Linked DNA regions of Medicago truncatula. Each later gene encodes a partner of the first gene's protein in a complex. Links are inferred from orthologs where the notes say so. Each region holds a gene or a part of one and is shown in the gene's direction. Other genes may lie near its edges.

Region 1 (7,611 bases):
TCTACAACTAGGTATTTTTTTGTCTAAATGTACTTTATAGATTTAGTAAACGGATATGCATTTCTTGGTCCTGAATTTAGGATATATCTGTAGTTTCTTATCGGTATTCTTTTCCAGGATTAGGCATGCTTGCTATCATTTGATGTTGTGATTCTACCCCTATAATTGAATTGAGGTTTACAACGTGCATAATTGGATAAGTACTGCATTTTTTTTATGGGAACACAACTGAACCATGTATGGAACGGAAAACTCCTCCATGTCCCGATCCCGAGTCCAACTTATGTTAAAATGGAACTTGGATGTATTGGGAAAAACCCAAGTCCCACATCGGATAGATAAGACTCTTGATATAGAGGAGGCAATCCTCACCTTACAAGCCGGTTTAGTAAGGATGAGTTAGGCCCCGAATTTCAACAGGATGTACCCCCAATTTGTTTCACTATTTATGCCTAACCACGATTCCCATAAAGTATAATCCATGTTTGTTTTCAGATTAGGATGATGTCTAAATATTTTTACCTTTTAAATTGAATATTTGATATTTCACGAAGCAGATAATAGCTGACAATGGTTGTATAAAATGTGATTTTGGCTAATTTCAAATCATGTGTTTATAAATATGTTGGATTGACTTTCTACACATACACGCTCACAGGTTCTCACACTCATGTGCATGCATATTTACCACACTTGGTAAAAATTTGGATTAACCCAGTTGATTACAGAATCCATACTGTTTCTAAGATTTATGTCATAATTGGCACCTTTGTTAAGTTTGCTTATGCGATGCATGTAGTTGGAGTAGACTTCATGCTTTTCATGTTTAGACTGTTCACGTGTTATATGCCCGCTTCCATTTTCCTGGTACTGCACTTGTGAACTTGACATGATTAAACGGCTAAGTTGATGCTCGGTAATTTAATATTGATGTAAAATCTTTTACAGGTACGTTCCAGCATATTCAACACGGTTATCATTTGAATCAGGAGTATGGAGTGTTTTGCCCCCAAATTCCTCAGACAAAATGGGGGTCGTAGATCCAGTCTGGACAGAAAGTAACTGGAATACAGTAGGCATTCGGATCTACACAGTCCAAATTGCTGCTTATGACCGGGTTGTTCTGTTTGGGGGAATGACTCTTACACTCTTGGCATACCTTGGAATAGCAGTTACAAGAACTTTCGTTGCCAAAGCAACAAAGAGGGATTGACACTATTAAATTTATGAAAGCTAACTACTAAATTTTGTGAAACTAGGGCAAAATTAAATAGGTTGATAGGAAAATTACTAGTTTCTGGAAAATTTGTAAGGATGTGAATTATTTAGGCCACATTCTTGTGCTTGTGAATTTATCTGCAACAAGACCATTTTTTATCACTTGTAGTTAAGTGTTAGGAAATGTAATGAAAACAAAAAGTAAAAAGCTTGGTGTGTTTGTGTTGTGTATTTCTGTAGTCCTAGTTAGTGAGCAGCAGCGTAATTTTTAATTTAATCCTTGTTAAATTATTAAAGTTCCAGTTAAGCTAATTGAATTGCGACACCTAAGTATAGTAGATGTAACGTTTAATTTGATTTTCTAAACATTAATCAATACATACTTTAGCAGAAATAGACATCAAATATACTACTAGATGTTACCCAATATTTCTCAACAAAAGAGGTTTCAATCGATCCGATATTTGATTTGAAATTAATTTTCATATATTGTCGGTGTTAAAGTTTTTATATTGGTAATCAATCACAAATCATTATTTTTATGGCGATTCAACAATTGTGATCGACTATTTGTGCATATGAATTAAATCTATTTTATTTTGATCAAACCATCTCAGTGTCTTGATTAAATTGAAAAGACTTAAGCTTATTAATAAGCCATTAGTTTCTTCTTTTGGTACAACGTTCTCCAAAGTTCTAGTGGACGTGCTTATTTTTTTCTTCATTGAAATCGAAAGGCTGAAAGCAGACTTGGAAATAGGCTTCATGTCCGAAGCATTTATATTGAAAGGCATGAAAGGTGACACGGTTACTCTATTAACGCCCTAAATACTACTCCCTCCATTCATTTTCTTTTGATGTTTTAGCTCTTGACACAAATTTTAAGGAGTAATTAAAGTATATAAACATTTGTGTGTTTTTTACTTAAATGTCCTTATTTATCATTAAATTCACATGTGATAAACCAAAGGTCACAAGTACTTTAATAGTTTATTGTGTTTTCCAACAAGGGTAAACTTGAGAAAACAATAATAAATTCACTAAAACATCAAAAGTTTTGGAATATAGTTGAAGTTCTAAAACATCAAAAGAAAAGGAATGGAGGGAGTATAAACTTAGTGTTAGTTGAAACCGATGAAGATTCAATAACGTTTGAAATTGAAACTGGTCACTATTTTCAATAATGTTTGGTTCCATTTTAGGTGAGAGTTTAGCAAAAGCTACGCTTTGCAACTTTATCACAAAGTCTTTTTCGTGAATTCAAACATAATTGATTTTGACATATTTGATTGCTTTTAAGTAGAATTAGTTTTTGCTCTGGATAATGATTTAAAGTTAAATTAAGAGCTTTTGCTTCAACAATATATATTTATTCTTAAATTTATTTCATATCGTGCTCGTAGTTTGTCACACGATTTAAGGAACTCTCATGTTGAGTTTGTCTATATATAAGTCAATGAGCTTGTCCATACACTTTTAAAGGTGACCCCATTTTTAGTTGGATTGAACGTTTCTCTTGATATCCCAAATCTCAACATTTTATTCAAGATACTACTATGAAAGAAATGCTTTGAGCTTTTTATCGCGAAAAACAAATATCACTTTACAATTTACATTCAGCTCATTTTTATTCGAAAACAATTTTACACGATCAATGCATTCAAAAATCAGTTGTTCTCACTACATAGCTAAACATACGAACTTGAGTCATTAAAGATCAATTGAGATAGGTTAGTTTAGCTTCTTCAACAAAAAAAAAGATCATCTGAGATGTGAGCTAGCCAAACGGCCAACCGAACGTTGAATATGATCAGTAACTTATTTAACTCTAGCAAACCATGAAACAGCTTGATGTTCTCAACCTGTAAAGATCATACATGAGTTTGATTATGCTCCCAAAAATCCTCACTTACATTGTGGGAATTGAAAGCCTTTTAACTATACTAACCCTTTATCAATGCGCGAACCTAGACTCTCTATTCGAGTGAGTTCCACTTCTCTTGAAGCGTAATATCCTTATAATTAAGCCAAAAAATTTATAGCATTATTTCTTAAAAATTGAAGATACCTTAACATTTAAAAAATATAGCTTCTCTTCACGTGTCTTTATACACTCTCAAATATATCATTTTCTCTACATGTAACTAAACAATTATTAAAAATTGATCTTCAATATTTTAGGGCATTGTTTAAGCATCTTAAAGTAATAACTTTTACATTTTTTTTTTTTATGGAAAAGTGCTTATAGCATTTCATTGATAATAAGAGTTTCAATACATTCGGGTAAATTAAAATAAACAACCGGACTAGCTAGTAACGTGACTTCTCTTGAAAGAGCATGGGCAACCTCGTTGGTTTGTCGCCTAACAAACTCTATCCTAGAGTTAGAAAACAGGGAGCTAAAAAAAAAAACGACAAGATGAAATAATACAACAAAATTTAGTAACTTTTACATTGAAAATATATAATTATGACTTTTATATGCGTTTGACTTGTATTTTTAAGACAATTTTCTTTTGAGAGTTCCTTAAACAATGTCCTTGGAAAATTTGTTAGCAAAACTCATACATTAATCAATCTAATAAAGTTTCAATTAGTGGTTTTGCGGGGTCAAAGCTAGATTTGAAGAGGGGGCAATAAATTTTAATGACTAGTTACAAAATATTTGAAGGAGTAGGGTCAAGTGCCCCTATTTTGGTCAAGTGACTATAGCTCACACAATTTAATTGTGGAGAAGTGGGGTGTCTGAGGTTCGAACCCCGGCCCCTGCATATAATATGCAATATCCTTACCAACTGAGTTAAGCTCACGGGATAAATGTCCCCCATTTAATATAGTGGATTTGTGCCCGTGTCCCGTGGACATTGCTTAAGGAATCCATAAATAAAAAATTTGTTTTGAAAGTATATAAGTTCTTATGTTTGATCAAATATTGATTACACTCCATTTTCTTAAAAATTTATTTGCTTTAGTTGTTTAACCAATATCTCTAGACATCGTCTTTACATTTTCCAAAAAGATTATGGGATGTGTTATTTGAACAACCACTTGATTGACAACTTATTGAACAACCATATATTTATAAAGAAAAAATAGGTATTGACACAAAAATCAAAGTAACAGCAAGATAAAGTAAAAACATATTGAGAATAGAGTGAAAAAGTTATCTCAAAAGTCGTGATAAAATGAACGTACAAATATCATTTCTTTATTTGATAAATGATATTTGTACAATCATTTTATGACAATTTTTTTTTCTTACTAATATTATATTTTTAATTTCTTTCCCGTCAATAGCTATAGAAGTTATGACATGAATGGTTATTCAAATAATACAACTCTTATATATCTACTTGCCTAAGAGCATGTGATAAACGGGTCCGAAGCAAACCCGAATCTGAAATCGGATCAATTCAACTATCTCACCCATAACTCCATACAAAATTCATTTCCTTCTTCCTTCACCTCTCCCACCTCACTCTCCCATCTTTTCTCAAATTCAACCTCCCATCTCCGATCCAACACCCTTCTTTCTCACAAACTCACAATCAATTGATTGAATCAAAATGGGGCTGGGTTTGTTAGCTTCCAAGACCCTCCGACCAACCACCACTCGCCTCCTCCTCCTCCGTTCAATCACCACCAAACCAGAACTCCGCAAACCCGAACCCGCCGCTCAACCCCAACCCGAACAGCCTCTCGTCGATCTCACTCCCCGTACACCCGTCGCTGGCGCTAGAGTCCATTTCACCAATCCCGATGACGCTATTGAGGTTTTCGTCGATGGTTATCCCGTTAAAATTCCAAAAGGATTCTCTGTTCTTCAAGCGTGTGAGGTTGCTGGTGTTGATATTCCTAGATTTTGTTATCATAGCAGACTTTCCATTGCTGGAAATTGTCGTATGTGTCTTGTTGAGGTTGAGAAATCTCCTAAGCCTGTTGCTTCTTGCGCCATGCCCGCTCTTCCTGGTTAGATTCTTCATTTTTTTTTTAATTTATTTATTTATTTTATGTTTCTGGATTTGCATTTCATTGATAATTTTTTGTATGTGTTTTGTTTATCTCAAAAAGTTTAATTTTTTATTTTTTTTATTTTGTTTCATGTGATGGATTGTTGGACGGTAAAGAATCAACATGAGAGTAAAATAAGCATAGCAAAGATTAGGATGTTGTGTTAGATGTGTGGTACAATTTAATTAAAAACACAATATTAGAGAGATAGAGTTGGGGTAGCCACCTATTGGAGAAAAGATGGTAGAAACTCGACTTAGGTGATTTGGGCTTGTAGAGAAAAGACCTGTAGATTTTGTAGTAAGGAGTGTAGATTAGATGGAGAATAGTCTGATCACTAGAAGCAAAGCTAACCTAGAAAGACTTTAAGAGAAACTATTGAGAAATATGTAGAGATTAATTAGTTGGGTAGAAATATGATACTCCCTCCGTTTCAAAATACATGTCCATTTTGGAGAAATTGCAGTAACCAAGAAACCAAATAAATTTTCTTATTTTTGATGAAAATATGTGTGTGTTTTCTATAATACCCTTAACCATTTATTATTTCTTTTTTTTTTTCTCTACAATAAATATGCAAGGGCATTATTGACAAGACAATAATTAATGTTGCATTGAAACTTGAAAGTGACAAGTATTGTGAAACAAAATTATTCTCTAAAATGGACAAGTATTATGAAACGGAGGGAGTATATGATAGAACATTATTGCGACGTTTGTTATTGTTTGTTGTTGTTTGAGTTTCATCTTGTTTGTGACTTGAGTGATCTTTTGATTAGTTCAAGGCTAAGGGTATTGAACTTGGTTGATGATTGTGTTGTTGCTTGTTGTTATTTTCAAATTTTTAGTTTGTTGAACGTGTTATGAATTTTGATACTAGTGAACCATCTATTACATTTCCTTTTAACCGTCTCGATGAAATTTCTGTTTTTATTTTTGATTTAGCTTTTGTCTGTTTATTTTTGCTGTTAGTTTTGTTCAAAAATAAAATCTAGTACTTTGTCTTTAAGTTTTTTTTGCATACGCTGATTTTCAGATTTTGCGTTACAACTTATACTTCTTTCTACTTTAATTTTTTAATTAGAGAGATATTTGATATAAAATTATCATATGTTTAGCTGGTTTGGGGATATCATCTATTTTTTTTTACCCGATCTTACTTTTAAATTCATTTGGTATTATGACACCGACACACATAAACGACCTTGATTTTGTTTAGTTGAGGTTTTTAACTATTTATTGTTTTGATTCTTGTTAAAAATGTAATATGATCATATGTTCAATTTAGGGATGAAAATCAAGACCGACACACCTATTGCCAAGAAAGCACGAGAAGGAGTGATGGAATTTTTATTGATGAATCATCCATTAGATTGCCCAATTTGTGATCAGGGTGGAGAGTGTGATCTTCAGGATCAGTCAATGGCATTTGGTTCTGATCGTGGTCGTTTCACTGATATGAAGAGATCTGTGGTGGATAAAAATCTTGGACCTTTGGTAAAGACTGTGATGACACGGTGCATTCAATGTACAAGGTTCATTTTTCCCTGCAAACTTGATTATCTTTACGTACACATTTTAATAACTATATCTTACCTTGGAAGCTAGAAATTTGTTGTGACTTTTAATGTCTAAAAGAAAGTATCAAGTGGTCTATTCATGTTAATAGAGTATGTTTATGATAATCTTGTAAGAATTAAGGACCTCATTGAGTTGCACACACACACACACACATATATATATATATATATATATATATATCTTTTTTATTTTTTTATTTTTTTAAATTAAGCAGTGGTCATTGTTACAGTATGATAGTTTGCGAGGGAACTTATGGGTCAACTTTTTCTGTATATGATTAAAATAATAATCTGAACTGATGCCTCTTCAAAAATAAAATAATCTGAACTGATGATTTAGTTTGGTTGTATGTTTTACTTACTCTCATGTCAGCTAAGGGCCAGCTAGGTTTCTTTTAATTTATGGTTAATGACATTTGGTAGCAATAGGCGTTGGCTATTTTGTAAAACCTAATCTTCAATATTTGGTAGCCTTCCTCTTTTTGTTGTCAATTAAATGTTATATGTATCGTGATTATTTTATCTGAGTTCCTTAATGGATCTTGTGGAATATCACTTTCTTCCCACAGGTGTGTTAGATTTGCATCAGAGGTTGCAGGGGTTCAGGATCTTGGCATGTTAGGTCGTGGTAGTGGAGAAGAGATTGGAACATATGTTGAAAAACTCATGACAAGTGAACTCTCTGGAAATGTAATAGATATCTGCCCTGTAGGAGCACTCACTTCAAAACCTTTTGCATTTAAAGCCCGGAATTGGGAGTTGAAGAATACAGAGACCATTGATGTTACTGATGCTGTTGGTT
Region 2 (7,471 bases), on another chromosome or scaffold:
TTTTCAATCAGAAGTGTCGGTGTAACCGAGCTTAACGACACTCCATTGGCCTCACCTTTTATACTTTGTTACAGCAACACCCTTGATGTATACAGCACCAGCCATACCTAACACAGTCACAATCATAAATCGTAAGAAACTCGTAAGCTAGGGTTTCAAAAGGTAAGAGTGAGAGGGAGAGAGAGAGAGAGAGAGAGAGAGATAGAGAGTACCGAATTGAAAGGAAGGAAAAGGAGGAGAATCAAGCTGAAGCCACATATTCTTCCCCTTCCGGCGAGCTGCAACAATCTTCTTCCCAACAACGGAAGCTTCGAACTCTTCGCGAGAGACACCGTCGATGACTTTGTTATCATCGGCGACGATGCATTTGGTTATCTTCTTTCCGATACAGTTCTCTTCCACCGCTCTTCTCGCCGCCTCTACCTCCGGTAGCTCCGGCATTATGCTCGGTCGTGACTGTGATGGAGTTTTCCCGCGTTGCTTCTCTGTTCTTTCAAGCACGATATTCTATGTTATACCGTTACGATTCAACATGCGTTTAAATCGTGTCCGTTCATAGCGGTTTTGCTGCGGGACAAACAACGGCTGTGATTCCACGCCCATTAATTATTTTCTAATTTTTTTCAATTTTTTTTTTTATATATATTTCACCAAATTGAATAAATGCAAATGAAATGGAAATATTCTAACACCTTATTTGATCCATATTATTTTTTGGGAAATGCTAACCGGTGCCCCCGGGTCCTGGTTAAGGATAATAAAAAGGGAAATTATATATTAATTATTGCATTGAAAAGGGAAATTATTACCATAAAATGAAGTTTTGTTGACTTATTTATGGATTAATTAAACAATTTTCAATGCAATAATTAACATATAATTTCCTTTTTATTATCCTTAACCAGTGCCCCGGGAGTACCGGTTAGCATTTCCCTTATTTTTAAGCATAGTGGATTAATGGTGCAAGCTAGGATACTCCAAAATGGAGACATATTGCATCGGATACCAATGTTTCATGGATACTTTTGGATATGTATCCACGGAGTATCGGATACCAATGCTTCATGAATGCTTTTGTGAAAATGTATCAAGAATTCTAATGGTATGAGGTAAAAATTATTTTTTTAATTCTCAACAAAAACAAAAAAACTTATATTTATTAACGATGTAGTTAGACTTAGTTGAAAATATTTTGTTCGTTCAAGACATTGTACCTCCAACTTTCAAAAAAGGGAAAACAATGATGGAAATACGCCTTCATATATCTTGTTTCTTCTAATAAAACATATGAACAAATTATGAAAAAATATACACAAAGCACGTAGATAATAAGAAATTGGTTGAAAAAATACATGTTTTAATAATCAGTTAAAAACAACTATTATTCAAGAAAGTAAAATGCCTTCGTAAAAAGTTCCAACATTGTTTGTTGAAAACCACGTAACTAATCATAAATCAGTTGAAAACATAAATATGAATAATAAGTTGAAAACAACTCTTATTTAAGAAAGCAAAACATTTGAGTTTTAGTTTCAACATTATTTAAGATAAACAAATTTAAAGATATTTACCTCAAAAAAAAATTTCATCATTTTCAACCTGTAAAATTAACACAATGAGAAAGGGAGAAAAGTGAGAGAACAGAGAGAAAGAGAAAGACAAAGGGGTTTATCAACACAAAACGTAAATGTTTAAATTTATATTTGACAAGGGGTTTCGTAAAAATGTTTTTCCATTGACGATCATTATCAATGAACTTAATTTCATAAATACCATTCTAAACAGAGTCTCTTATCTAATGATGTTTAATTTCAATATGCTTTGTCGCTAGTGTAAAATAGGTTTTTTGGAAAATCAGATAACATATGTTTTTTCATAGAAATGTTACTCTCATTGGTTTGGTAACCTTCAAGTTGATATTTCATCCATAGAAGTTATGTGACATACCTTGTTGACAAGATGTATTTTGCTTATGTAGTAGATAGGGCAATTGTGCTTTGCCTCTTGATTTAATATAAGCATAAACTTTCGCCAATAAATTGACAGATACCACTAGTGTTTTTTCTTTTAATTTTATCTCCAACATAGTTAGCATTATATAATTAATATAGTAACTCGTATTCAAATGATTTTTTTGCAAAATAAACCAATGTTAGCAGTAAGATATATCTAAAGATTAGCTTAGCTGAAGTTAAGTGAGATTATTTCGGTATACCTTTTGATCTACATTGTCACTTGACTCATATTTACAAAGTGATCAAACGGAATAATTAGTGTGTGTGGATGGCTTACGAATTCTAACATATCATAATATTCATTAACCATTTACTCAACATAATTAACAATATACTATTACATTATGTAATCCATCAAAACAAAAATAAAATAAAATTATGTAATGCATCTAAAATGGCAAGCTTTGAGGTCAAACTAACACAACTCTAAAAAAAATGTACCCAACAATTAAAAGTGTAAGTTTACTACACATTTGTTGGGGGATTCAAGAGGAGTTTTCAAAAATTTAATCCTTTTAGCGAAACAATCCCAATAACGAATATTGATTAAACCATTAATCACAATTCAAATGGAAACCTAAACACAGTTAAAGATTCATGTGTTGAAGTGATGATGGGAAACGATGCAAGATGGTCATGAGCCTCGCACAAACGACATCGCCTCTACTCAATCCACATGAGCACAAATTGAAACATTGTGATATCCGTTCCATGCGAGGGATTATGACTATTAAGTTTTACATGCTTAAGTAGTGCATGCTCTTCTTCTATTTATAAAGAACAAGTCACCAAACCCTTGATGCTTATTAGATTGGGTTTAACCCAAAGTAAGTCTAATATCAATTAAATTAATTCATATTTAATTAATTAAATTTCAACCCTCTTTTTTGAACAAAAGTATATATAATTAAATAAATATGATTAATTAAATATCATTTAACATAATCATTGAACTTTATACATGCGTCTCTGTCGATTCTTATAACGTTAGTAATATCATCAAATGTTATATTTAATATCATAAACAACGAGCGATATTAGACAACATATTACTAATGTTATATTTAACGAGCAAAAAGACGTGCACTCATGTGGCCGTCTTTCCGTTTTTTATTGTTTTAACACGTGTAGATTATGAACTATATTTTATAAATTTTTTGCGTGTGAATTGCAAACGATATTTTATATAGATTTTTTTATATAGATTAAAATTATAAGTATAGATATTTGTGATTTTCAAATGTAACAAACTCAACAAATCATATTTACATTTTTCAATGACAACAATAATATAACAAATATAACAAAAATTCTTATCTTTTTAAATAACACCAACAATATGATATAGATTAAAATTATAAGCATAAATATCTATATCTATACTATATATAAAAAATAGCCCCTTTTGACCTTTTTGGGATGACATTTTCTTTTTCTCATATTACCCCAAACTTTAAATACAAATAACACTTATAATAAATAGATAATAGTAAATTCAAATACTTAAAGAGTGTAAAAAATTCAATATTTATTGTCTACGAAATATCAAATTTTTCCTTATCTTTTTTTTGTTGTCAAGTAGCCTAGTGGCTAGAGCTTACACAATTAAATTATGGAGAAGTGGAGTGTCCGGGGTTCGAACCTCGGCCCCTGCATATAATATGCAATATCCCTACCAACTGAGCTAAGCTCACGAGGATTTTTCCTTATCCTTTATTCCTTTAAAAAAGATAATTGATGCAGTGAATTCAAAATAAATAAAAAATGTAACAAACACGATATGAATATATGTCCAAATTTTCTTTATGCTTTAAAAAGTGAAACAAACTAGACCGAACCTATATAAGATTTTGGACTGACTTTTTCATTATCCGAATTATACTATAAAATAATTTTTTCTTTAATAATGATTGTTGTCGGTGTCATTACAAAAATAAGAGTTTAAATTATATTTTGTTATTATATTTTTGATCTCATTGAAATAGGTAAACAATGCTAGTTTGATTTGTTATAATTTAAAAGCAACAATAATTTATATTTATACTTTTAATCAAAATCAAAATTTCATAAAAAAATATCGCTCATAATTTTCAAACTTTAACGCGATAAAAAGAACGAAAAGACGAATACTTGTATTCGTCTTTTCACCAGTTATTATATAAATTTTGTTTAAGAGTATAATTAGAATAACAAAAATCAGCCCAGAATCTTTCTAAAACCTCGTATATAGTATAAATATCTAAAGAAACATATTACTACTACCTAAGTGACGAAAATGTCATACAAACCAAAATGATCGGCCAACAATCACAAGAGTTTAACCCTGGTACATGCCCATGACGAGATTCGAAGTTTTGAACCCAAACAAAATGTCGCGCAATCTCATCCATACATGTGTCGACATAAAATTGTTATCATCGAACGGTCATCAAGGTGCCACATCTCTACATTCTCTTACACTACACCCTTCTTCACTACTCTCTCTCTCTCTCTCTCTCTCTCTCTCTCCCCCTCCCTCCGATCCATTGTTTGGTTTCACCTTGTTCCTCCCAAAATGCTAGCACGCCTCGCCGCAAATCGTCTCAACCAGATCCGTCAAACTTTCCATCAGGTTTTCTTTTCAATCTCTCACTTCTATTTCTTCTTCGTTTTTATCTTCAATTTGTTTGATTTTTTTTCTTCCGTGTTTTCCCTTTTTCGCAGCCATCAAGGGCTTTCTCAACCGCTCTCAATTACGTAAGTGTTCTTCAAATTATCCTTTTCTTAGTTTTCATTTTCAATGTTGTGATTGTTGATTGTATCAATTTTTGAATTGGGTTGCAGCACCTTGACTCTCCGGACAATAATCCCAATCTTCCATGGGAATTCAATGATGCTAACAAAGCAAAGGTAATTTTTTTATTGTTTTCAAATTCTAAAATTTCAAACTTGGAATGTGTGATGATTTATCAATATGTAGCTGTAATTCAGCTCATTACCCTTTACTTTGATTATTGATGATTAATTGAGTTTAACATTTAGAGTTAAAAGCTAATTAGAGCAGAAAATAATGCATAAGAGGGTGTAGAATTTATGAATATATATGCTTTACTGATTGGTTTAATCAATAATGTTTCTATGATTTTTGGATTATTAGTTCCGTATTGATATTATGTATGTGATCCTGTTTAGTTTCTAGGATGTGTTTTTAAGATTCTAAAGTTCCAATGATTTTAATCTCTGTTAATTATAGGTTAAGGAGATTATATCTCACTATCCATCCAACTATAAGCAATCTGCAGTGATTCCTCTGCTGGATCTTGCCCAGCAGCAGCATGGAGGTTGGCTTCCTGTTTCTGCAATGGATGCGGTATGTTGAACTCTTTCGTGAAATATTCTTATTAAGTCCAGATAAGATAAGATCAGAATGATAGCTTTGTATAGAGAGCTGGGGGTAGCATCTGTTGTAAAAAAGATTAAAGATTATTGCCTTCGGTAGTTGGGGCATGTTTGGAGAAGACCTGTAAATATAGCAAAGAGGAACAAAGGGCAGATTAGATACTGTATAACAGGTAGAAGTGAAGGAAGATCATAGTATTCAACTATAGGCTAGACTATTTAAAGGGGTTTATACATTTGTTTTTTGGAATGACAAATGTCAGTGTTATGTTTTGTGTGGGGATAGAACTCTTAACCACCTTATCACTCCACTCCTTAACTCCACCACGGTCTCACCCCACCACCAAGCCTACCTTATATCCACTGAGTTTAGATTTGAATGGTAGTTCATGGCAGCCTTTTTTAAGATGGTTCCCATTAGATTAGTCAATAGCGCGCTATAGAGGCGTAGCAACAAGAAACCGCTATGGTGGGTGTCGTAACGGCACGGTTCCAGATAGTGCCCGCTGTAGCTGCTATATTGGTTTGCAGTAGCGGATCCTGACCTGCTATTGGATTTTAGCAGGAAAATTACAAATTGGCCTTAATTTTAAAACTATGTTATGAGACCCATGGTATTGTCTTCTATCCTATGTTTGAATTATGTTGCTTTCAGTGTATTTTATTTCTTGCAATGTGTTTGTAGTTTATTGTTGTTGGTGTGTTAATTTTTCATTTTATCATATTATAAAACTTTTGGTATGCTGTGTACGCGTGTAATACTTTTATAACAGCCACCATATTTCTGTTATAGGCATCAACGCTATCCAATAAACTTAAATTTTTATAATAGATTTTTAATTTGCTGTCACAACTCACAAACCACCATTTATAGCATCCATTGATTTGTGTAGCAGACCTTTCACAATTGAAAAAGGCTTTGGTTATTATTGCTGGCGATATCTAGAAGACTAACCATTCTATGTTTTAAGTCTATGCATGCATCAAGGTTTGGTTGTTTATGTACTCAACACTCTTTTCCTTAAAAAAAAAAATGTACTCAACATTCTTCTATATAAGTAGTCACTATCATTTATGTTAAGGCCCCAATGTGAATTTAGGCTCAAATGGGCTGATGCCCCATCAGCTGCCCAAGCCCACGGCGTAGGGATATTTTTTAGGAAATATAAGAAGAGCAAGGAAGAGAATGCTGACGTGGTAGAGAGTGGGGGTGGACTAGTTGTGATTAATTTTGTTATATGGATACAAAGGGGAGTGAACGGGTATCTTTGAAATCATTGGTGAGTTTATGAAGCACGGATACGGATACGTACACCAGACACGACACGGACACTGACACCGCTAATAATTTGAGAAAATCGCATAATTCAGTGTAATTATATGTGTCGGTGTCGTGTTGGTGTTGGACACGACATGTGTCCGACATCGGGACACACCTAATTCGAGGAGTGTCCGTGCTTCATAAAGAAGCAGAGAGTATTCTTCTATGTAGCATGCTCTGGGTAGTGTGAATGTGATTCCACTGATAGTATTTTCCATTTCATAAATAATACTTGATACGTTCTCCATTATTTCCCTTTATTCAGTGACAGTGTTTTATCCATTAATTTCTTAATTTTCTGTTCTAGTTCCTATCAGATCAATTTAATTGAGTTTTGCTTGTAATTTCCTATTGCTATGGTACACCACCGAAAGTCCTAAATTTACATATTGTTTGTAAACTGAATAATAAATTTCTTAATAATGGTAGAAGCTATTTAAATCCTTTATTAACAAACAGTTTTGTGAATCATTCAGGTGGCTAAGGTTATAGAGGTTGCCCCTATTCGAGTATATGAGGTTGCCACATTTTACTCAATGTTCAATAGATCTAAGGTGAAAGTCATTTCTTCTGCGTTGCTTTTATTTCTGCTAATTCACAGTAGTATAGGCCAAAACTTACTGGATCAACCGCCTGCTTTGAATTTTCAGGTTGGCAAATATCATTTATTGGTCTGTGGAACAACACCTTGTATGATACGAGGTTCACGGGAAATTGAAGCAGCTTTATTGAAACACTTGGGAGTGAAACGAAATGG
Region 3 (7,207 bases), on another chromosome or scaffold:
AGGATAAAAAGGAAATTCAATGGAAGGGTCTTCCTCGTACTAGTCTGAATGATATTGAAGAGCTAAAGGTTTGCCCACAGTCTTGAGTTGTAACTTTTTTTGCTCCATGTGTCTTATGCTTTACCTGCAATGATATTCTGAGCTAATCCTAAAATTCAATGAAGGACCATTTTAATTGCTTAATTTGATTTAACAGACAGAGCGTCTTGGGCTCAGGAATAGAATTGAAAGGAAATCATCCTATTTGCAGGAGCTAGAGGAACAAGTAAGTCCATCCTACTCAGAATATATTTAATATGGGAATGAGATCCTTTGCTGCATTTGAAATTGCACTTGATTATAATTACTTCATTTTGTAGTGTTCAGTTTCTGTTTGCTAACTACTTGCATTGTTGCATCAAGTTTGTAGGTCTTCAGAACCTTGTTAAACGAAATGAACAATTATATAGCTCTGGAAATCCTCCCAGTGGAGGTGTATCTTTACCCTTTATTCTGGTACAGGTAAACCATCATCTCAACTTCCTCTATTGTTTTGTTTTGTTTCCCATAGGCTCCCTTCACTGGAGGTAATAATGTTTGACACTAAATGTGGGCACCTCTTCCAGCCGGGTTTTGCGTTATGGGAGACTAGCCTCTTCTGCTATACCCAACCTCAGTTGGTGCCTCTTTTGGTTATTTTGTCCAGTAGCAAATGTTGCCAATTTTTCCTTGGATCTTCAATTGTATGATTGACACCAATTCACTGCACAACATGTACTGAATTAGTTGACTTGAATTTTAAATTATTAAATTTATTGTGAGATGGTTTCTCATTCCAGTTGCTTAGTGAATTCATAGAAATACCTTTTTCCCGCTTTTGTGAGCATTTGTATTTTGTTTGAATTTGTCTACTGAATGTAACAGCTACACACACTATGAACTAGAGATATTTTATCAGCTCATTTGGTTAAGTTAACTTTACTCTGGTTGCCTTTTGGCTTTATATCTGCTCAATGCTATGTCGGGTCTATATGTTAAATTCTTGGCCACAGGAAAGTTTATAACTTGATAATTTTAATGAAGAATCTGCTTCTCCTGCTGGCGGATGTGATATGGCTCTTAGTGGTATTACCATTTGATTAATCTCATATCTCTGGCTTTTTAAAACTGTAGACACGTCCTCATGCAACTGTTGAAGTGGAAATATCAGAAGACATGCAGCTTGTTCATTTTGATTTTAATAGGTAAAGCTTCACTTTCCTTTGGCATTCTTTCTAAGTTATGGCGTGATTATCTAGGTCTGATGTTGTCTTATTCATTGTGAAGACTTCCTAATTAAGTATCGTCATAAAATCAGTAATTTGGAACTAGTGTCTCCTATTATGGCCAAATAGAGGCCACTAAAAGAATTTTCATGTAGAGTTTCTGGGAGGCTGTTATGGTGGCATTGCTTTTGTGTCTTTGTCGTGAGATGTACTGCCACTTCCTATTTATATTTACTCTCTTTTCTCTTTCTGCAGTACTCCTTTTGAGTTGCATGATGACAATTATGTGCTCAAGGCAATGGAATTTGGTGATAGAACACAGAGTGATATTGTTACACACAATGTTACAGATGGAGGGGAAGGTTCTAGCATGTCAGGCATGCATCAGTCACAGGTTCCTCCTTCAGCTTCAAGCGTGTCAACTAGACCTCCAACATCACCTCCACTCCCTGGAATATTAAAAGCAAGAGTCAAACAAGAGCATTGATCTGCAAGATTATGATATCGTCGTACCCTAATTAAGCATGTCTGTACATTCTGTAAAGAAATTTTCCCAATTAATATACCTTCGTGATTGTTAGCTATCAATACAGACAAGTCATTTGGTAGGTCAGCAGCAGAGTGGTTTGTTTGCCTCTTTATTGTTTAGGTTAGACTCTTTTACTACCATCCATCATTTACTACCTTAGCAGATTTTTTTTCTCCACATTTTTTGTGGTAACTTTTCCTGCATTGTAGCTAGAGAGATAAGAGATCATGGAATGGAGTCCAACAACATAGGATTAATTTCAGATTTCCCCGATTTACAGTGTAATTTGTAAAGTTTTTCAACTTATGTGGATATTAGTTGTGGTATTTTGACCAATGCATCTTGTTTTGTATCGTTTGATAGGGTCCTTGTGAGGCTCTCTGTGGTTTCTTTCAACTTCAATGGAAATTTTGTTACCTGATTTTTGGCTGGAACATCATTAACAGCATAATGGATTTAGGTGTTATTTAAAAAGGAAAATTATATTCACCACCTGTAAGTTATTCTTAAATAGCAAAAGCACCCCCTCTATTTTTAAGTGAACACTAACGTACCTTATATTTCTTCAAAATGACAATCACCTCTCTTCCACTTCCACCTTAACACTGTTTCTTTTTGATTAAATTCTCCACACTCTCTTTAATTGTATGAACCTTCTTTCTTTGCTGCTCCTCTTGCTAGTAAGTTCCCCTTTTATTCATGGAAAGTAAAATCTACCGAAACACAAATCAGTCTAACAAACAGGAACAACAAAAAGAAACAACATAAGCACATCAAAATATTGGTTGCAAGTGCAGCACTGCCTTTTATGTCGGTTTGTGTGTTTTATTTGATGACACTAATTTTGTCGAGGAACATATGGAGAACATAATTTTATGGTTTTCACAAAATTCCTGTTGGTATATATCTTTTTATGCGAAGGAAGTTATGACGTCTAACCTTAAGAAGTTTTCTCTCTGTATATGAAACTGTAGTCTAAAGTTGTTATCCTTAGGGGAGGTTTGTGTTTTTGGGAAACTATAACAGGTGTAATTGACATTTGAGTAAAACTTACGGGAAATCAATGTAATTTGCCCAATTTAAGTATGTTTGTCTAGAATCATTGTCTTCCACTGTGCCCTTGTTGTAGTGGCTGTTTGTCTAGATTATTAAATGTCAACTTCAAGGATGGGAATTTTCTGGTGAAAAAATGTCATACTTACGAATATATGAATGATATGCAAAATTTTCTGGTGAACATGTGTTTAGAAATGCAAATTCTCATCTTGATTCTCGAGGAACAAAAGTGACATACTTACAAGTTACAAGAAAGTATGAATGATATTTGTAGTTCTTGAGGGACCAGAATGTTCTTTTTTAAAACTCGGTATCCAATCCAAGAATCGTACCGCCAACTTGCGGGGGTTCCATTTAAAGTCAGAACAAGCTCTGTATGGACTTAGCCCACCGAAATTGGCACCATGGGATGAGGGGCCAGAATGTTATTTTTGCACTCTCGTGTGATACTTTGACTCAATCTTCATGTCACATTAGAATGTCCCTAAACGTGAGATTGTTCTGCTATATACAGATCAATTTATTGGAGACATAGTTGATGTTGAAGATCCGTCAAAAAAAAAATAATGTTGAAGCATATGGAAAATGTTGATATCATGCACTTTTTTTTTAATAAGTTGATATCATGCACATTACTTTGTATGAGTGGAAATTCTCGGTTTCTAATCCGCGATGTTATGATGAGATAACTTAATTTCTTTCACTGTGAACCGTGGTGGAACTTCTTGGTGATGGATGGGATCATATTTAGAATGATTTCCATATGTTAAACCATAAATTATATTTAAGTCCTCTTGAACGATAAGATGTGCTATCGGTGCTCGAGCATGAGAATTCTCCTCTATGAATTATATGTCTTTATTTAACTCCTCTTATGTGTGTAAAAATTCAGAATATATTGACATTATCATGAACTAATTGCAGTTAATCATTTGTTAAAGTTTCACTGGTTGTGACTTATTCTCCTCTTTTCTAGTAGTTGCAGAATATATATTGGTGCATACGATATTTAGACCATGTTTGAATGAACATGATATATAACTCCTTATAACACAATCTAAATTACTGTAAGTTTTTTCTAAGCTATAAGTTATTTTCCATAAACTATTAAGAATTTGGGAAAATAAGTGGAAATAACTTATGGACATGTCATAAGTTTTCCACAAATCTCTAAAACAAGTGTCTATGTTAGTAGATAATTCAAATCAACAAATTTATATAGAACAACAGTGTATGAGACATTTTTAAAGTTCAAGTATGAGGTGTAACTTTTATCACCTTCCATAAATGTGCGTTAAAATATAAACATCATCAATATATATTCGTTAATTTTGTCACTGGTACGAAATTTTCACCGACTTGACTAATCTCTACCAAAAAAACCTAGCTAGTTTTAGTAGTTCTCCTTTCTTTTCTAAACCATTTCTTTCCACTAATTATTTAATTAAGAGAGTATAATTTAGACAAAGATGTGATGTATTATAAAACATAGGGGGTACGGATAGTAATCTAGATGATGGGCCAAAGCATGGGATGACCCGTGAGGAAAAGACCGAAATCTCCCAATCAAGCGTGTCGTTGGTTGAAATTCAATCAATTTTCCATTTGATTCATTTCATTTCATTGATCTAAATCGAGGTTATTTCTTCTTTGTTGATTTGCGATTGAAATTAGGGTTCGTGAAATGGCATCGAGCATTCTGAAAAACCTCACAAGATTTTCTTCATCGACGGCAACGACCAATGCCACGAGAAGTTTCAGCCTCGTAACCTCTCAAATCAGCAACCATACCGCCAAATGGATGCAGGTATCCTTGCGATTCACCTCATACGTTTGATTTAGCATTGTTTCAATTCTAATTTGTTACATTGTTTATTTGATTTCATTGAATTTTTTGAAATGAGCGGAGAATAATGTGACTAGGTTAATAGTTCTCTTCCTAATCGGGATTTTTATATATTATTGATTAAATTTGCTGATATGAGGGAATTCTGTCGCAATGTATATAAATTATTGATATGCATTTGGTTTGTTACACATTAATGGATCCTGAGATTATATGAGAAAGGGTTTGATCCTTGTTGGCATATTAGTTTAATGAATTGGGGCCTGTTTGGATTGGCTTATTTTTGAGCTTATGCAAAACAATTTATGCAAATAAATAAGCTTTTATGTATTATTCATAAGCTTGCTAAGGTAGTTTATGAAAAAGCAGCTTATGAAGATACAATTTTTGTTAGTGAGAACTTATGAATTAACATAAAAGCTTATATATTTGCATAAGCTATTTTTCATAAGATAAAAAGTAAGCCAATCCAAATGGGCCCTTGGAAGGTTAAGATTGTTGGGGAAGCTGTTCTAGCGAACTTTGTATTTGGGAAGCTAGTTGTTTGTTACATGTTATTGCTCATTGTATACAACACTCAATCACACAACATTGTTTGAGCATAAGTGTATGGACCAGGGGAGAGATTAGAAGATGTGATAGAAAAGTTTGATGACAATTTGCCGCTTGTGAGGTTTTCTAGGTTACTTGTGTGGAAGAAATCTTCATTTTGAGGATGGAAACTTTAAGAAACAAAGTGAGGAGGTGTAAAGTTTGAACAGGTTTCCGCAACTGCTCTAACTGGATGCTGGAGTCAAGGGATTCCTGTTAGTGAATAGTTATATCCCTCACTCTAACTGATGCTTCAGGGATGCTTTTTCCTTCAATGTTTCTGAATTTGTTTAGTGATGTTCTGATGTTTTGGGGTTTCTCCCTTATTTATTCAAAAGCGAAATCAAAATACTTGTCATTTAATGCCAATGTTTTCTTTTTTTTGGCTCCAACTTCCAGTGTGTTGTGTTGTTTAAATTATTAGCTAGCTAAATAAATGTTTGGGTGAGCAAATGCAAAAGTGATTTTGAATGCAATTGATTGTGTAAAATTGAGTTTGAAGTGCAGTATTTATGTTTGGATGTTTTTACTCTGAAAGCAAGTTTGATGTAAAACCTTGTGTACAATTTTCAACTTAATACAAAAGCTACTTTTATCACTGCTAGCCAAACTGAGATCTGGAGACAAATAATTCTGGTGTGAAGTAACAAAAAATACCAGCATGTTTTCATGGAGAAAAATCATTTTTCATATCAACTGCATCCAAACATGCACTTAGCTCCACTACTGGAATTTTAAATCATTCATGCTTACTGATCTCTGCTCAAGAAATTGTGAAACTTACATTTGTTTCTTCTGTAATAGGATACAAGCAAGAAATCTCCAATGGAGCTGATCAATGAAGTGCCACCTATTAAGGTCGAAGGCAGGATAGTTGCTTGTGAAGGAGGTACATTACAAATTTTGCAAATTTCTATTCTCTCTTCTTCCTTGCATAAGCGAGAAAGAGATAAAGATCTGACAGGTCAAGTTTTGTTGATTATGTAGGAGGATTTAATTAATTTGGATATTGCTGTCTGTGATTTCAGATACTGATCCTGCCCTTGGACACCCAATTGAATATATATGCCTTGACTTGGCCAAGCCAGCTGTCTGCAAATATTGTGGCCTACGTTATGTTCAGGATCACCACCATTAGGAAATGCTGTCTACAAATCATCTGTTGTGTATTTAGGAAATTGCTGCTGAACATCATTAATGTGTTTTTGGTTACAATGTTCTCTGACCAAATCATATGATGTAACAAATGTACTTGTCTGTTACAATTTGCTAAATAAGAATATGACAAAATTGTTCATGTTACCATCTGATACAGATGGGGTCTTACATTGTTGTGTCTGTACTATGCTGAGCCAGTAATTTGTATGAAGCTGGAGGTATAACTTCATTGAGCGATCTTTTTTAAGTATTATTTCATAGCCTGCAAGCTCGAAGTCCATGATAATATTGCCATTCTCGAATCAAAGTAACAATTGAATGCATTCTTAGTGTATGTTTGGTTCAGGTGCGACAAATTCAATTTTTAATGAATGATTTTGTAAAATTGATTTTGGTCATTAGATTCAAAGTGAGTCCTGACAAAAGAGTAGCATGGCTGGTTTTATAAGATGAATTTAAGTATGTACGCACTCCTTTTTCTATTAAGTAAGGAAAACATAAATACTTCCATAGATGCTCTTTCCTCGGTGACCTTCTAGTCACATGACAACAACTTTATCAGTTGCACCAATGTTACCCCTCATTCCTTTTACTAAGAATACATAAATAAAATCTAGTAAATTCACTCCAATTCGATACGAAAGTTGTAGTTTTTATTATTTTTTTCATCATTCAAGTACCAAATAAGATCTATACTTAAAATATAAAGAAATTAAGGTATTGACCAGAAATCCATTGCATTATTTAATAATTATTTATATTACAAAAGAGTATCTGTTACAT
Region 4 (6,854 bases), on another chromosome or scaffold:
AACATAGTCTACTATCAGAGAAGAAAGACAAAGGAACAAGTGCTAGAGAGCTACAAAAATGTAACGATGAAACTGTGATAAGAGTAACAAGTAGCAACACATGATGAATATTGAGAAGCTTACCTCTATCCACTTTCTTTTTTTTTTCAGTGATTCAGGTAGCAAAAAAATTCGTCTCCATTATTCTGATTTTGTCTCATATATTTATACCCAAAAATTAGTATAAAGTAGCTAGGAGGAAGAGGACAAAAATGCAAAGTTGGTGATTTTCAGAAAATGTAGAGCAATGAGCAAAGGTACAACGGCTCAAAAAGGGAAAAGAAAAGAGCAATTGAAAAAAGATAAATTGGGAGGAGCCCTCAAGAGTCAAGAGGAAGGATACGATGCATATACTTTGCCATAGTTTTTTATCTTTGTTTTTTCTTTCTCAACTAGTGAGACAGTTTTTCTGTATTTTGTTTTCATTTTATATCTTTCCTATTTTTGTCATTTTTATTTTTATATTATAACTCTGTTTTATCATGAGATTATTATTAATACAAGAAACAGAGTATTTTGAATTTTAATTTGTGACCTTGAGCTTGTAATCCAAAATCTTGTATTTTTATTGTACTTAAGTTGAATCAAAACAAGAGACTTGTATAATAAAATTAATCCAATGAATGTTATTTATTTTATGACTGAAATCTAATGAGTGTTATTATTTATCAATTTTTATAAGAGAACAAAATAGATTAATATAAAAAAATGAACAAAGTTAGGGTATTACAAACTTGAAATAAACTAAAAATAACAGCAAAACAAAAGCAAAGAAACACAACGATAAAAACACTAGCAAATACATTAGATCTTAAACTGGTTGGCGATGAAGTGACCAAAATACAAAGATATCATAGTGACTTTCGATGGGGGCGTTAGACGACCAATTTTGCAAGTGAGGTCGCAATCAGTGGGGAAAGATTTAGAGGCCGTGATGCCTAAGGCATGTTTACATAGGCATAAGTGAATTCTTTTGTTGGTACGAGAACCTTTAAGACCAAGGAAAAACTTGAGATTACCTACGTCTTTGATGCAAAAGGATGAATAGAAAAGACTTTTAATAACATTGATTTATGTGGAGTTCATTGTGAGAACAATGTCGTCTACGTAAACTAGCAGAATAGTGAAGGAATGAGAAGATGATTTGATTAACAAGGAGTGATCATATTCTGAATGATGGTATCCAATAATGATAATTGCAGAAGACAATTTAATAAACCATTGCCTACTTGCTTGACATAGACCAAAAGGGGGTTTGTTGAGACAACATGCTTGATTAGAAGAGGTAGGCATGAGACCTGATGCCAACTCCATCCAATTGTTGAAGAATCCTTCCTTTAGCAACTACAATGGAAAGTAAAAGACATACAATAGTTATTTTAGCAACAAGTGAGAAGGTATCAAGAGAGTTTACCCCTTCTTGTCGAGTGTAGTCTTTGACCATAAGGAATGTTTTAAAGCGTTCTATAGTGCCATTAACTTTATGTTTGATACGATACTCCCATTTGCAACCAATCACAACTTTATCTTTAGATAAGGCGGTTAGTGACCAAGCATTTTTAGTTGTAATGGCTCGAAGTTTGTTGGTCATGGCATTAATCCCTTTTTGTAATTTGATAGCCTACTTATAGGTTTGCGTTCAATAGCATTGGAAATGGAAAATGTGTAATGAAGATTAGATAGAAATAATTTATGATAAGATAGTACAAAGTGTAAAAGATACATCAAATTGGGTGTATAAGAGGATAGTTGAGTTTCACGATGACAATGAAAATCTTAGAGACAGTTAAGAGCCTTTATAGTTTTAGTGGATCGTCTGAGTTTGGTTGTGTCAAAAGTTAGTTTTTGGTAAGGATTGAGAATATTTTACGATGAAAGGTCACAAGTTATGGTAGGTCTGAAGTTCAAGGATTAGAGATGGGTTTAGTGTAATTTGTTTTGGTGCATTATGCAGAATCAACAAGGTCATTGAACAGAAAAATTGAATAATCTTGGATTTGTACAATCAATACTAAGAAAAATAATCAATAATTTCAACATAAGCAAAAGTAGATTCATGAAAAAATAGCATTTCTTGTAATGAAAACTTATCTAGTAGATAGATCAAAGACAAGATAACCTTTTGTACCAAATTTGAATCTCAAGAAGATCCATTTTATTGCTCGTGGATCAATTTTAGTACAATGTTGTTCCAAGGTAGAAACAGAAAAGTCAGAGGTTTATCATACACCATTTCAAAAGGAGTCTGATTTTGCAAAATAGGAATGGGTAATATATTGATTAGATAAACAACATGAGTCATTGCATAAAGATCATAAAGCAATTCGAAAGGAGTTTTATGTTATCATAGTCGTTGTCTTTCGCGGATGAACTACTCCGTTGTTTTTTTTATTTTTCTTGATTAAGACCATTTTCTTCTTGTGGGCCTTCATATTATACATGGTGTTATCTAGTGTTTGTTCTTTATGACAATGTCATCGAGGCGGTGACGCGTCATGGTTTTTGGGACCTTCTACTTCGTGTCTTCTTGGAGATGGAAAACACCGATAAAGGAAACTTTTGTATCAGTTGACTTGCCTATTGAATGGTGAATTTCTAGTTTATGGATCCACCATGTTAGACATTAGAGTCACCATGTTAGACATTTTGTAACCGGCATAATAATGGGATCCTAATGCATTGGTAAATCTTACTGAGGGCTCCACAGTGGGCGTCAATGTTCACGCGTGAACACACAAAATGGATCATCAAAGTCGATGATGTAATCTTCACATCTCTAGTCATACGCTCCTTCTTCAGGCGAGGAAGGTGTACTTGCAAAGACACCATGATGCCAAAGTAAGATAAGACATACCTTGACACGAATATGAAAACGGATAACAAGTCATCATACTTAGGGGTGAACCCCTTATTTATATATTATATGCACTCATATACACTTAATCTTGTTACTATTTTCACTCTAGTGATTGTTGAGGTCGTTACTAGATATGTGTTGTTTGTCACCGTAAAAAATTATCAAGATAGCCACTTACACATATTTATTTGATATACGCTCCTTGGTGTTAGAAGCATGTCAGTGCTTATAAACTCCTTATATGTTGGTGTGTTAGTTTTTTGGGATGACATTGGGGTTGTTTTCAGTTTCTACACTATGTCATTTTGTTATGCTAAAATGGACACATCATAAATTCTCTTCATTCATACTTCACAATCGGGTGTATTTTCTCTTTTTAAAGTCGATTTCCTTAGTGGATAATCCATAATGTTTTAGTTTGTCTTCTAAGGCCCGTATCATTACAAGTTATATATGACATATTACACTTGTTGTGCATTCCAATGATTTTAAGGCCAGCAAAGACCGACCTAGAACTTTAGAAAAAGATGAATAATTAATTGATCATGAAATATCATATTTTAGTTAAATTTAGAATCACTAACATATTTGTTAGTTATATACTTTTTTATGTTATTTATTATCAACCTATTAACAATACACAATCCTTCATTCATACAAAGACGTTCTTTTAATATGCTCCCTTCAGACTCTATTATAAACAAAAAATGATTTTTTAGATTTTTTGAATAACTAATATATTCGGTTTGTAATATAAATCAAATATATTAGTTATACAAGGAATTTAAAAAGTGAAATGTTGATCGGAGAGAGTTATATTATGGTTATAGTAATTTTAATATATTATAATAATGTTTAATATATATTATTGCTACCATTTAAAATTTTAAAAAGCACTCTTAAGAAAGGGAAAATTTGTAAAATGTAAAAGTAAAAGGGCCAAGCTAAAAATTTATCGGAACAAAAGCGAACGAGAAAGGCTCGGGAGGTTCATTTTGTCTTTGGCACCATCCTCCGCAGAATCAAAATTCCCATCAAACGATGACGAACATCCTGCTACGCACGGCGAGTCGCGGTGGTTCCCTACGCGCCACCCTCATCCGCCGGTTCTCCACTGATGCATTGGTTGAGTCCAAACCCGGCGAGATCGGTTTGGTTTCTGGAATCCCACAAGAACACCTTCGTAGAAGGGTATTATGCTTTAAATTTTTCGTTTTTTTTTTTTCTTCCGGTTTTTCATTCCCCAATTTTATTATATTTGTTTCATTATTATGGTAGAATAAAAGTTTTTATTTTTTATATGTAGTATAATTGTTTTAGATTCAATTGAAGTTTTGTTTTGTTGAAATTTTGCAAAATAATTGATGCATCATTAGATCCTATGTAATGGACTTAGCTTAACCGGCAATGCCGATATTGTCAGGCTGGACACCTTCACCCGGGTTCCAAGCCGGGACTTTGCAGTTGTCTGCGTGAGTTTTAGGTGGTGTTTATCACTTCATTTAAAGACAAAAAAATAATTGACCTGTTAAACACCTGTTAACAATTGAAATTCAATTAGGCGTTTAGCTTATACTTGCAATGTGATGGCAGGTTTTGATTTACTCACCTGCTAGAACTGCTGGTCAACAAGGATCTGGGAATGTTGGAAGATGGAGGATCAACTTCTTATCAACCCAGAAGTAAATTCTCTCTGTTTATCATTTTTCTTTCACTGCTTGTTTAGATATTGTTTTACTAGTTTTAGAACTCGAATTATTTATTATTTTTCCCTAACAAGTTTGATGTTTCTGCGCTGGATATCTGTTGTCTGGATTAGGATTCTCTCATGTAGGAAAAACACTAGGAAATAATGTGGAATATCTATATCATTGAAATATAATGGGTGAAGAGTTTTGAAATTTATAATAATGAAGAGTTGAGATTTGAAACTTAAGAAAATTTGAGAGAAAAAAAATGGAGAGGATGCATTTCCCTGTTGTCCATATATCTCGATTTTTGACAAATTTCTTATCGAAATTCATTCATAAAAGCGGAACTTATGCTATCATTGACATTACATTTCCTGCACATGTGGAAATTTTCAGAGTTTTAATCACTATGTTATTTTACATATGTTATGATTCTTCCTGGGCATCTCTAAGTAGTTTAAGGAGTTGCTAGTTGTTTCAGTATAATATCCTGAATTTATACTTTAATTCTTTAACTGATCTTATTGTTAAATTTGTAATACCTAATAATAGTTTAATTTGTACTGTGAACTAATATGTCTATAGGTGGGAAAATCCACTGATGGGGTGGACATCCACCGGAGACCCATATTCCCATGTTGGTGATTCTGCGTTGGATTTTGATACTGAAGAAGCGGCAAAGGAATTTGCAGAGAGACATGGTTGGGAATACGTGGTATGTTTTTGCCATTCAAACATAGGTCACATAAAATTTTATGTTTTTCTAAGCCTTCAAAGTGCTCCAGTTATGATTCATAATTTCATACTTGTGCTTATTAAAGTAAACCATTATCAGATGGATTGGTTCACCTTCTCTTGCTCATGTCTCGCCTAGGATATTAACTTAAAATCACAATCTATAGAATGAGGGTTTCAATATTGTCCGAGCAGTCTAACTTACAAGAATCAGCATATCTTGCTTCTCAACTGATATGAAGAGTTTATCATTGAACTGTGGCTACTGTGTTTGTTAGTCATTTAATTTCGTTTAAAATTTCAAGTATTAGGCTGCTAAATAAAAAAGTTCAATTTATAAGTCTATTATTTTCTGCATGAGATGAAGCCAGATGCGCAAGCCTGCATCTGTAACAGATATGGCCAGATTGCATCTGGAATAGAAACAGATGAGGGATAGACTTGACCTGAGATGGGTTTAAACTACTTCCAGGACTAGGACTGGTAAGCTCAAGCTGCATCTAGAACATAAGTTGGGAGTTGGTTTGCATTCAAATAACGACAAGGTAGAGCATGTCTTGGACAAAGACTGAGCTCATTCTGCATCTAGGACTAGGATGAGACTACAGCACTTATGAAACAAAAGCCGAGGTTAGAGAGTGCCTGGGACGAGGATTTAAGCTTGAGACCTTATAACTTTCTCATGTCAATGCTATGCTAGTAATAGAAAAGACAGAAATGCTAAATACAAACGCGCAGACACTCACTTTTTAGCACACGCCTGTATACACTGCGACGACCTTATAACTTGTTAACTGGCTTAACCAGTTGGTGTATTTTTAATTTTTGTATGACTTTGTTCCTGGAAAAAAGAGGCCAACGGTTGCTCGGGGTCTTTAGTCATCCATGTGTGACTGCAGGTCCTTGGACTCTAGATCCCCACCTTTCTAGGTTCAACTTCTTTCCCATTCTATTCCAAAAATAAAATAAAAAATCAACTGGGTTATTGCTTCAGCAGAGCTACAACCCATAACCATAACTCCTTTAAAAACTACCAACCCCACCTAAGATCCTCACTACCCAAATCAAATCCAATCCATGAAGAAGCCCCACCATCACCAGGAGAGGAATCCACGAAAGAAACACCCATCTAAGAAATTCGAAACAATGATTCCCATTGTGGAAGTAGCAGAGGTTGTTTCTTCAGCAGGTCCTTGTACTCTTAAGCCACTCAAAGATTTTCAATTTATGAAACCATCGGAATTGATGCAAATTGGCTTTGTCTTTGGTTTATGCAACCTGTTAATTTTTTTGTTAATTTTATAATTATTTGATCTTACGTTGCAAATTTGAACTTGAGTGGTTGTTGATGGTGGTTTTAATTAGAAAGAATGGTGGATAGTGGTGGTGGTTGGATGGAGAAGACCCTTCAAATTGCTACTGCTTCGTAACTGTGAAATCCAAAGTAAAAAAAATAAAAATGTTATGCGAAACTGAGTAACAAGTGGCCAAATAAATTGTTTGAAATATGGATGACGTGGTCCAATTAATAA

Evidence for each region.
Region 2: the proteins of NADH dehydrogenase [ubiquinone] iron-sulfur protein 1, mitochondrial (region 1) and NADH dehydrogenase [ubiquinone] flavoprotein 2, mitochondrial are in contact, whole or in part, in a cryo-EM structure (PDB 8BED), measured with the Arabidopsis thaliana proteins. The link is inferred for Medicago truncatula from reciprocal best matches to the Arabidopsis thaliana genes EMB1467 and AT4G02580. Residues at the interface, in NP_568550.1 of Arabidopsis thaliana: Val203, Lys205, Val225, Ser229, Gln235, Asp236, Leu237, Gly238, Ile239, Leu240, Gly241, Arg242, Gly245, Glu246, Glu247, Gly249, Thr250, Tyr251, Val252, Glu253; in NP_567244.1 of Arabidopsis thaliana: Asn33, Tyr34, His35, Leu36, Val90, Met93, Ala103, Ile105, Arg106, Tyr108, Glu109, Thr112, Phe113, Tyr114, Ser115, Arg119.
Region 3: the proteins of NADH dehydrogenase [ubiquinone] iron-sulfur protein 1, mitochondrial (region 1) and NADH dehydrogenase [ubiquinone] iron-sulfur protein 6, mitochondrial are in contact, whole or in part, in a cryo-EM structure (PDB 8BED), measured with the Arabidopsis thaliana proteins. The link is inferred for Medicago truncatula from reciprocal best matches to the Arabidopsis thaliana genes EMB1467 and AT3G03070. Residues at the interface, in NP_568550.1 of Arabidopsis thaliana: Pro167, Leu168, Asp169, Cys170, Pro171, Ile172, Met198, Lys199, Arg200, Ser201, Val202, Val203, Asp204, Val214; in NP_566191.1 of Arabidopsis thaliana: Ile69, Ala71, Pro83, Ile84, Glu85, Phe86, Ile87, Cys88, Asp90, Leu91, Lys98, Tyr99.
Region 4: the proteins of NADH dehydrogenase [ubiquinone] iron-sulfur protein 1, mitochondrial (region 1) and NADH dehydrogenase [ubiquinone] iron-sulfur protein 4, mitochondrial are in contact, whole or in part, in a cryo-EM structure (PDB 7AR8), measured with the Arabidopsis thaliana proteins. The link is inferred for Medicago truncatula from reciprocal best matches to the Arabidopsis thaliana genes EMB1467 and FRO1. Residues at the interface, in NP_568550.1 of Arabidopsis thaliana: Gly61, Gly62, Ala63, Arg64, Val65, His66, Lys87, Gly88, Phe89, Thr90, Gln93, Glu96, Val97, Asp101, Arg104, Tyr107, His108, Ser109, Leu111, Ser112, Ile113, Ala135, Gln175, Glu178, Cys179, Asp180, Asp183, Asp266, Lys288, Ala289; in NP_201560.1 of Arabidopsis thaliana: Ile55, Tyr57, Ser58, Pro59, Ala60, Arg61, Thr62, Ala63, Thr64, Gln65, Ser66, Ser68, Leu71, Val79, Thr81, Leu82, Lys83, Glu85, Thr92, Asp103, Lys126, Lys128, Lys129, Asn131, Thr132, Pro133, Leu134, Leu135, Lys136, Val137.

Annotation. Positions count from the first base shown.
Region 1 is NC_053044.1:32,876,081-32,883,691, forward strand, and holds the start of NADH dehydrogenase [ubiquinone] iron-sulfur protein 1, mitochondrial, read left to right. Parts: upstream 1-4,588; 5' UTR 4,589-4,784; coding exon 4,785-5,187; intron 5,188-6,517; coding exon 6,518-6,764; intron 6,765-7,378; coding exon 7,379-7,611. Other genes in the region: nicastrin, read left to right, coding at 1-11, 949-1,213.
Region 2 is NC_053043.1:51,113,710-51,121,180, forward strand, and holds the start of NADH dehydrogenase [ubiquinone] flavoprotein 2, mitochondrial, read left to right. Parts: upstream 1-4,468; 5' UTR 4,469-4,569; coding exon 4,570-4,626; intron 4,627-4,718; coding exon 4,719-4,751; intron 4,752-4,838; coding exon 4,839-4,904; intron 4,905-5,247; coding exon 5,248-5,364; intron 5,365-7,190; coding exon 7,191-7,268; intron 7,269-7,364; coding exon 7,365-7,470; intron 7,471-7,471. Other genes in the region: formamidopyrimidine-DNA glycosylase, read right to left, coding at 56-107, 213-441. UniProt on the Arabidopsis thaliana protein: Core subunit of the mitochondrial membrane respiratory chain NADH dehydrogenase (Complex I) that is believed to belong to the minimal assembly required for catalysis. Complex I functions in the transfer of electrons from NADH to the respiratory chain.
Region 3 is NC_053045.1:37,849,131-37,856,337, forward strand, and holds NADH dehydrogenase [ubiquinone] iron-sulfur protein 6, mitochondrial, read left to right. Parts: upstream 1-4,426; 5' UTR 4,427-4,513; coding exon 4,514-4,636; intron 4,637-6,070; coding exon 6,071-6,155; intron 6,156-6,294; coding exon 6,295-6,404; 3' UTR 6,405-6,692; downstream 6,693-7,207. Other genes in the region: transcription factor-like protein DPB, read left to right, coding at 1-68, 197-265, 403-501, 1,153-1,223, 1,500-1,731. UniProt on the Arabidopsis thaliana protein: Accessory subunit of the mitochondrial membrane respiratory chain NADH dehydrogenase (Complex I), that is believed not to be involved in catalysis. Complex I functions in the transfer of electrons from NADH to the respiratory chain.
Region 4 is NC_053045.1:47,953,438-47,960,291, forward strand, and holds the start of NADH dehydrogenase [ubiquinone] iron-sulfur protein 4, mitochondrial, read left to right. Parts: upstream 1-3,850; 5' UTR 3,851-3,937; coding exon 3,938-4,087; intron 4,088-4,489; coding exon 4,490-4,578; intron 4,579-5,172; coding exon 5,173-5,302; intron 5,303-6,854.